2 linked regions of the Caenorhabditis elegans genome follow. The protein of the gene in region 1 purifies or fractionates together with the protein of each later gene. This does not show direct contact. Each region holds a gene or a part of one and is shown on either strand. Other genes may lie near its edges.

Region 1 (3,515 bases):
TAGAAACCGTGTTTCTTAGTTTAGAGTCGGACATGACTTGATCCAAAAACAATAAGAATAGCTAGGGAAAAGAATGATAATATGGTAAGAAAAATGCTTGAAACTAAGTGGTGCATAGAGGGAGGAGTGCACATGCCATAAAAAAGTGATAAGAGTTAAGCACAGAGGACGCTGTTTGATTTAGACGATGACGTGGCACTGTTTAGGTCATAAAGTGGCAAATGGGGAAAATTAAGAGACTTTCTCATTTTTTTTTGGATAGAAAAATCTGTCTTTTTTCAGTTAGTGGTTCTCACTGTAATGAAGTTTTCTCTTAATTTTTAGATTTTATCTTGCACTTTTGTCTTTTTAGTTTTTGAAATAAAACTGGGCGAAATTCTAATAACCTACCAACACAAAGTGAAGTTTTTCTATCTGCTTTGGCGGCGTCAAAGAAGGTCGCGGCTAACGAGAATCGACGATTTGTGGCCTGCAAATTTAATTAAATTTCAACGATTCCAAAATTGAAATACTATAATTTTTGTCTTTATATTGAAAATCACCTTTTTGTGCAAATTTCGATGCATTTTAGACAATCGCGGAGGGGATTGATTTTACAAGAAATAAGGAAAATGTTTCTTTTTTTTCCAAAAACTTGATTCCCATCCTCTTTATAGCCGATATTTATTTACAAAAGGACCAGGATTCAATATAATATTCTTTCTGCTGACTCATATTCCTATGTTCTCACCTTTTGAGGGACGTCTAGAGATGGAGTCGATGTGGCGTCGATTCGTGAAAGTGCTCGCGGAGTTACTCCGAGTGAAAACTTCCGAGAACTCGGACGGATCCAATTCTCTGAAAACATTTTATGATGATTTCGAAAATATTTTTTTTTTTGCTTCGAAACGTTTTTGTTTCAAATTTAATCGCCTCGGATAAAAGGGATTAGTGGATTTCTATTCTATTTTGATCGGATAACTTTAGTTTTTCATTGAATTTATGCCGAAAGCTCCCCTTACCACCACTCATTTTCCAGATGAATATGTATGTTTTAAACGGAAATTAGGAATAGTTTAATATTAATTACAGGTGGAAACACGATGACTAGACGACGATCGTCCGAATGTTTGTGTGCTTTTTGCTTTACAGCATTGATAAAATGTTTTGAATGGGTGGATGAAAATAATAGCACAATAGACGGGGTGGAGACGCAATAAAGCACCTGTGGCTGCTCTTTTGAAAACGAGAGTTTATTGCAATTTGATATTCAGAAGAAATATTTATTCTGGGAAATTGAATTTTTCAGGTGGGAAAACTACGAATTCCGAGGAATTAATGCAATTCATAGATAATTTGGTTTTGATTCAAGTAAATAAAATGATTTACCTTTAAATAGATAATATAGAAACTCACAAGAATTGGACGCGGAACCAAAGAATCGAACTCGCTTATTGGTTAAATTGTCGCCAACTCGTATGCATCTTCTGTGAAATCTCGTCGGCGTGTTTGCACATTTACCGGTTTTTACGTGTTTGTTTTTCAATTTGAGCATTTTTGAGCAAAAAAAAGCTCTAAACCGATCACGGAAAAGTCATTTCAAACTGGCTTCTTGAAAGATTTATAAAGTGAGTAAGTTGTGGGTTTTTGAAAAAAAAGTCTAAATATATTGTTAGGAACTTTATTGAATGGGCTACCCTCAAAATCCTGAAAAGAAATTCTGAAGAGAATAAAGGTTAATTAACATAGAGTGAGAATAAGTGAAACAAAATTGTTTTGGAAACGAAACATTGTCTCAAAAATGAAAACATTTCCATGAAGGTCATGAAAATATATTTTCACTCTCTTCGAATCTAACGCCTCTGAATTTAATACGAGTGTTCAATTTTATAATCTTCCTTCCAACATCTTTACAAATATGATCCTTTTGTTCATATTTAAGTTTTGTTTATTAAATCACATAAACACATTAAATTTTCAAAAAAAACTCCAAGACAATCATTGCCCTCTGATCATCTCATACCTACTAAACTTCTCTATCTTTCCATCTATCCTATTTGTCTTTATTTTGCAGTTTATATTGCCTTTATCTACTACTGATAACGCATTCGTCCGACCCGATACTTTTCTTTTTCACTACTCTAAAATTCTTCTTTTTTCTTTGACATTTTCCATACAACTATTTTTGTTTTCAGGTATGAACCAACTTTGTCGTGCTGTTCCATCTCTTCGTTCCGCTGTCAGATTGGCCTCATCTGGTACGTATTTTTTCTTTCATTTTCTGAAAATCATCTAATTTTTGCCAAATCAAAGATTGTTCAAGATCAAGCAGTAAGAAATACTAAAAAAATTTAATTTTCAAAGTATTTTATTAATTTAAATTCGGAAAAAAAGTATAACATCGAATTTTTTGATTTTAGGTCGTCTATACACGAAGAAACATGAATGGGTGCTCGTAGAGAACGGTGTTGGAACCGTTGGAATTACGGACTTTGCAACGGTTAGTATTTTTCAATATGTTCAATTTGCATATTTTTAGTTTCCAGGAACAACTCGGAGATGTCGTCTTCATTGAGCTGCCGGATGAGGGAACTGAAATTTCAAAAGGAGACTCAACTGGAGCTGTTGAGAGTGTGAAAGCCGCTTCTGACATTTATGCACCAATCTCTGGAACTGTAACCCAGAAAAATGTGAAATTGGAGGAAGAAGCCGGTCTGATCAACAAGAGTCCATTCGAAAAGGGATGGTTGTACAAATTGAAAGTTAAGTCAGCAGACGAGCTGGAAAAACTTCTTAACGAGGAACAGTATGCAAAGTTCAAGAAGGACGAAGAAGCTGCCCACTAAACAAACACCTTTAATCTCTGTATTATAGTTATAACATTCTGGTACTGGTATTCATATTGAATTCGTTTAGGTCAGAGTATAATGTATTTCTTTTGATATTTATTTTTTATTGTTAATTAAACAATTGTTTAGAAATTGGAAAATATTTTAATGCAAATATTTACAAAAAATGAGGTTAAAATGTGAATGGCAAATAGTTTTGTGAATTAAAAATTAAAATCCCTGTTTAGCTGGATTTCATCACGCCATTGTAAATTCAAATTGAAAAACTCTAAACAACGAAAGAATTAAAGCAAATATTATTATTAAAGTTGAATCAAATTGAAGAGAAAACGATCACAGAGATTGGAGGCAATTACGGATAAGATTATGCGAACAATTGAAAACATTACACTAAAGGCGGAAAACGATTGACACCTTTCAGACCATCAATGAACCCATTTCGCATGTGTACAGTTGTATATAGTGCCAATGTCCTCCACACCGTCACTGCGTCTCTTTTTTGATTATCGTCTAAATCGGTCATAATGGAGAGACGGTGTTCTAATGCAAATTCCATAGCGTCCTGAATAATAAAATTTATAAAATTTCAACGATTCATAAAAACCAGAATTTCATAGTCAAAAATTTGTGAAAGATATTCAAAATTTAGAAACAACTATTCCGATCAATTATTTTCAAATCTATATT
Region 2 (4,707 bases), on another chromosome or scaffold:
CGTCGTGTGTGAATTTAGAATTCCCTCTTTGTTCTAGGTTCTTAAGCTCAACATTTCTACGATATTTCAGTAATTTTTTCCTATACCGTTTAGCTGCGGCCACATAAATCAGAAAGTCTTTTGTGTCCCTTGAATTTAAAGCGTTTCTATAAGTAATTTCAACAAAATCTCTCAGTGCATTGAGGTACGGTGGAAGGAATATCTCATCTGCTTTAACAGTTCTTTTCGGGATTGAGAGTTCAAAAGTGCTTTGCATTTCTGCTAAAAACTGATCAAACATGTCATTCACTGAATTGTGAGCACTAAAGAGTTGATTCCAGTTTATATTGTCAATGCACTGAACACATTTGTTCCAATCAATATTTTTGAAATCATAAACTTCCTTGCTGGCGGTGTGTTGCTTCTGTAGGAGATCAATACTAAACTGGAGTCTACGATGGTCACTGTTTCCTAGTGGTGAAAAAATTTTTATTTTTGAAACATTGAGGTTAGAAAAGACCAAATCAAGGATGTTAGATGCTCTGGTGGGGTTGGTTACGAACTGTTTCAATTTTTGGGTTTTGCAGAATTCTATTAACATTGTGCCTAATCGGGTATCAGATTGTGGATCTTGCCCACTCCAATTAATACTGCTAACATTCAAATCTCCTAGTATAACAATTTGACCCGGGTGATCGGTTATGTCTTCGAGCTTATTCAACAAAGTCACAGTATCATGAAAAGATGCGGTTGGAGGCCTATATATGTTTACTATGCGTAGTGGAGTGACATTGACGTTGACATCTAAGACCAATATTTCGAAAGCTTTGCGTTTCGATTCTGCAAGAACCACACTACAGCTTATACTATTTTTTACTAGAGTACATACTCCGCCGCCCCTTTGTTCATCTGGACGATCTGCACGGTAAACCTGGTAGTTTTTATTATTGAAAATAGAGTTTTGCGTTTTACTTGTAAGCCATGTTTCTTGCAAGCAGACTAAGTCATGTTCATTTGTGGTCAATTCCCCCATTAGTTCTAATCGATTAGCATTAACAGATCTTATATTGGCACATAGTACATTTAATTTGAGGCCTGGGATTGGGGAACAATTTAATTTTGAGAATAAAAAACCTTTAGAATACACGCTCAGTTTTTTGGGACGTTCTTAGCGGGCTGCATAATAGAGACTCGAGGTGGTTGGTTCTGCGTGGAGTTATGTGAAGGATTTTTGTTTACACGTGAACTATTGTTGGTGTGCATGGCGGTGGGTTGGGAATTGGTGGGTTGGAGTGATGTGGATTGACGGAATTTGATGCGGTTTTCTCTAAATTAAAAACAAAGTGTGACATTCAAGCATTGATTGAAGAAAAGCTGGATGTTCTGGTGACTTAAACATTTTCAATGGTTATTCTGGTTTGCTCATGGTCAAACTTCATAATAAATTCAAATCTTCTCAAACTTTGATCGCTCTATGTTCATGTGAACCTTTGGATTGCACAGCTTCATTTAATGATCTGAACAATCTAAATCCAAAACAGACAAACAAGAAAGTTAATCGTCAGTCTCCCGCCCATTCACATTGTAAAATGCTCAAAGTAATTGGTGAGAGAGCAATTGAATTATTAGAGACACAGACAACACACGTTTTTTACACTTTCTGACGGGTCCATAGGATGCGGAAGGGTCGTTTTCTCTGCTCATTTCATTGCTTGTTGATTCTGGTGGTCAACAAAAAAGTTCTAAACTACAATGGGAGGAACATCCTTGGATCCAGCATTGGCCGAGATTGGAAAGAAGAACGGGCTTCTTGTTTGGAGAATTAATGTACGTTTTGTAGTCAATGGAGTAACATTTACAGTGTCAAATCTAGTCTGAACTACGGTACAGTCACAATTATTTCCTAATATTTTAAGTGAAATATTCTGAAATATATTACAAATGTTGTGTGTTCAAAATTAGTTGTCATTGGAAGTGGTCTATAGTTTTAAAATCTTGCACTGTCATCAACAAACTAATATCTTACTCATCCTACGTTTAAACCCTTGAACTTTGAAATGTGTCATATCAAGTTGTTTGTGTCAAAAATATTCCCCAATATCTTCTTTATCCTCCCCACGTATCTATCAGTTCCAATGTTTCGCAATTTCAGAAATTTGTGTTGGAGCCGGTCCCCGAGGTTGATCATGGTGTGTTTTACATTGGAGACGCCTACATTGCACTCTACGTATGTTTTCCTATAGAACAGAATATATGAAAAGAGATGGTTACAGCAAAAGTACGATGGATGTTGGGATGTTCATTTCTGGCTTGGAAAGAATGCATCGACTGATGAAATTGGAGTTGCAGCAATCAAGACTGTAGAGATTGACGATGTAAGAAATGCTTCTAGAAAGTTTTAAAATTTGATTGTTTCAGTCTCTCGGTGGAATTCCAACCCAACATCGTGAAATTCAAAACTACGAATCTCCTCTCTTCTTGTCCTATTTCCCTGACGGAATTCGTTATGTATCTGGTGGTTATGAATCTGGATACCGTCATGTAGACGATCAGTTCAAAAACTGGAAACCTCATTTGTTCCATTGTAAGGGAAAACGAAATGTGAGATGCACGGAGGTAAGGAAAAATAAATAGAAGATAAGAGACATTGAAAGCACACAGAATACAATTCTAGGTGGAATGTGAAGTGAATTCTCTTAATTTGGGAGATGTATTCATTTTGGATCTGGGAAAGGATCTTTATGTTTGGATGCCACCAGAGAGTGGAAGACTTGAAAGAATCAAGGGAATGGCTCGTGCCAAGAATATTGCTGATCATGAAAGAATGGGAATCCCGAAAGTTCATATTCTTGATGATGTTGAATGGGATAATGATTCAACATTCTGGAGTTATTTTGGTGGGGTTTCGTCCGTTAGGAAGGTGTCAAAGGGAAAAGATGACGATGATAACTACTGGAAAAGACTTACGGAGCAAATTACACTTTGGAAGTAAGACAATTTTGAAATTTGACTGGAATTTAAGGGAATTTATTTAACCTATTGAAAATTGATTTATTTCAGAGTTTCCGACGCATCTGGTGCTGCTAAAGTTAGCATGGTTTCTCAAGGCGAAAATATTCGAAAAGAGCAACTTGATCCCAAGGTGAGTTGCCGAATCAGTTTAATTGAAACAATTTTATTTTAATTCAGGATGCCTTCATTCTTGATGCAATTAATGGTGGAATCTTCGTCTGGATTGGACATGAATGTACTCTTGAAGAAAGATCGAAGGCTCTTATTTGGGGGCAGAACTATTTGAAACAGCATGTATGATAATTATTTTATTTCGAAAATAATTCCTTTCACATTTCAGCATCTTCCCCGCTGGACACAAGTTACTAGAGTTCTCGAATCAGCTGAATCTACTCAATTCACCCAATGGTTCCGTGATTGGGTTGATGAGAAAAAGAAGAACACATTCACTCCACTCCTTTTCCAAGTTGGTTTGATGCAATGAGCAATTTTCAGATTGAAGTTTCAGGTTTCCGATGAAAGCGGTCTTCTTCATGTTGAGGAAATTGCAAACTTCACTCAAGAAGATCTTGATGGAGATGATGTCATGATCTTGGATGCTTTGAATTCCATCTACGTTTGGGTTGGAGCAAATGCTAATGCAAATGAGAAGAAAGAAGCATTAAACACTGCAAAGTTGTACTTGGAAAAAGATAAGTTGCCACGTCACAAGAAAACAGCTATTGACACGATCTTCCAAGGAAAAGAACCACCAACTTTCAAGAAATTCTTCCCATCCTGGGACGATAATTTGTTCAAGAATGTAAGTAATTAAATACTCTTATGAAAACAAAAAATATCATGAGCTAACATATTGTATTTCAGGAAGTTCGATCCGTGCAGAACATGCGTCGCCTTCTCTTCCACTAATTAAACTTTTTTAATTTTAATTTTTCATTGTATCTTATAATGTTTCTACATTTCTAATGTAATTTAAAATGACTCATTGAAATAATAAACACTGCCTGATCATAACTTTTTACAAAATAAGTGAAGGGGTACATCAGAAGATCGTAGCTAATAGATCTTTATCAGCTCCTCGGTCTGCCCCACAACCATCGTATTTCGTCGTTTTCTTCTGAGAAAAAGTGAAAACGTGTCATTTTTATGTATCGTTTTCATTCAGAGCTTCCACTCTTCCTTTTCTACATCATCGACCTTGAAATCCTGTGAAAGAACTGTTCAGAACACACTGCTGGGTCTCCATGGCTACACTGATTTCAATCTGAATCTGATATGTCTTGTGAACATTTACACAAACATATGTTGGACGAAGAAAAATAAACTGCTGAAAGAATTAAGAAGGAAGCTATATACAGAGAAATCGAAACGTGCGAAGCGTGAATATTTTCCCGAGACGGAACAATATGAAAATCGGAAAAGTGTCGGGCATTTGCAATACAAGGCTGAGGGGGAGAACGTGAAAAATCTCTGAACGCATTGTTCCCTATAGAAGAATTATTCTCAATTTCATGCAAATATGTCATTGTGTTTTCTTGATTTAACTTTTTTAATTTTATTTTTATCGTCCTATACCGTGATTCAGCCTTTCAGACAATCCTCTCCTTCACTAACTCTTGGGAAAAAGAATTGTTCTGATTCTAATATTATTTCAAATAAATAAAAATTGAAAAATTAGCGAAAGTAAATTACAAATAAGTTAAACATTTTTGGCGA

The links.
Region 2: the proteins of gcsh-2 (region 1) and gsnl-1 fractionate together in Caenorhabditis elegans (co-fractionation; one large-scale study listed by BioGRID). This does not show direct contact.

The regions. Positions count from the first base shown.
Region 1 is NC_003279.8:7,345,383-7,348,897, reverse strand, and holds gcsh-2 (Glycine cleavage system H protein), read left to right. Parts: upstream 1-2,174; 5' UTR 2,175-2,176; coding exon 2,177-2,237; intron 2,238-2,399; coding exon 2,400-2,479; intron 2,480-2,525; coding exon 2,526-2,825; 3' UTR 2,826-2,960; downstream 2,961-3,515. Other genes in the region: kbrl-1 (NF-kappa-B inhibitor-interacting Ras-like protein), read right to left, coding at 391-469, 731-837, 1,369-1,534; glb-18 (Globin domain-containing protein), read right to left, coding at 3,214-3,390.
Region 2 is NC_003283.11:9,495,374-9,500,080, forward strand, and holds gsnl-1 (Gelsolin-like protein 1), read left to right. Parts: upstream 1-1,668; 5' UTR 1,669-1,731; coding exon 1,732-1,806; intron 1,807-2,131; coding exon 2,132-2,206; intron 2,207-2,252; coding exon 2,253-2,354; intron 2,355-2,397; coding exon 2,398-2,595; intron 2,596-2,653; coding exon 2,654-2,967; intron 2,968-3,039; coding exon 3,040-3,121; intron 3,122-3,168; coding exon 3,169-3,285; intron 3,286-3,331; coding exon 3,332-3,457; intron 3,458-3,499; coding exon 3,500-3,793; intron 3,794-3,855; coding exon 3,856-3,900; 3' UTR 3,901-4,003; downstream 4,004-4,707. UniProt on the Caenorhabditis elegans protein: Calcium-regulated, actin-modulating protein that binds to the plus (or barbed) ends of actin monomers or filaments, preventing monomer exchange (end-blocking or capping).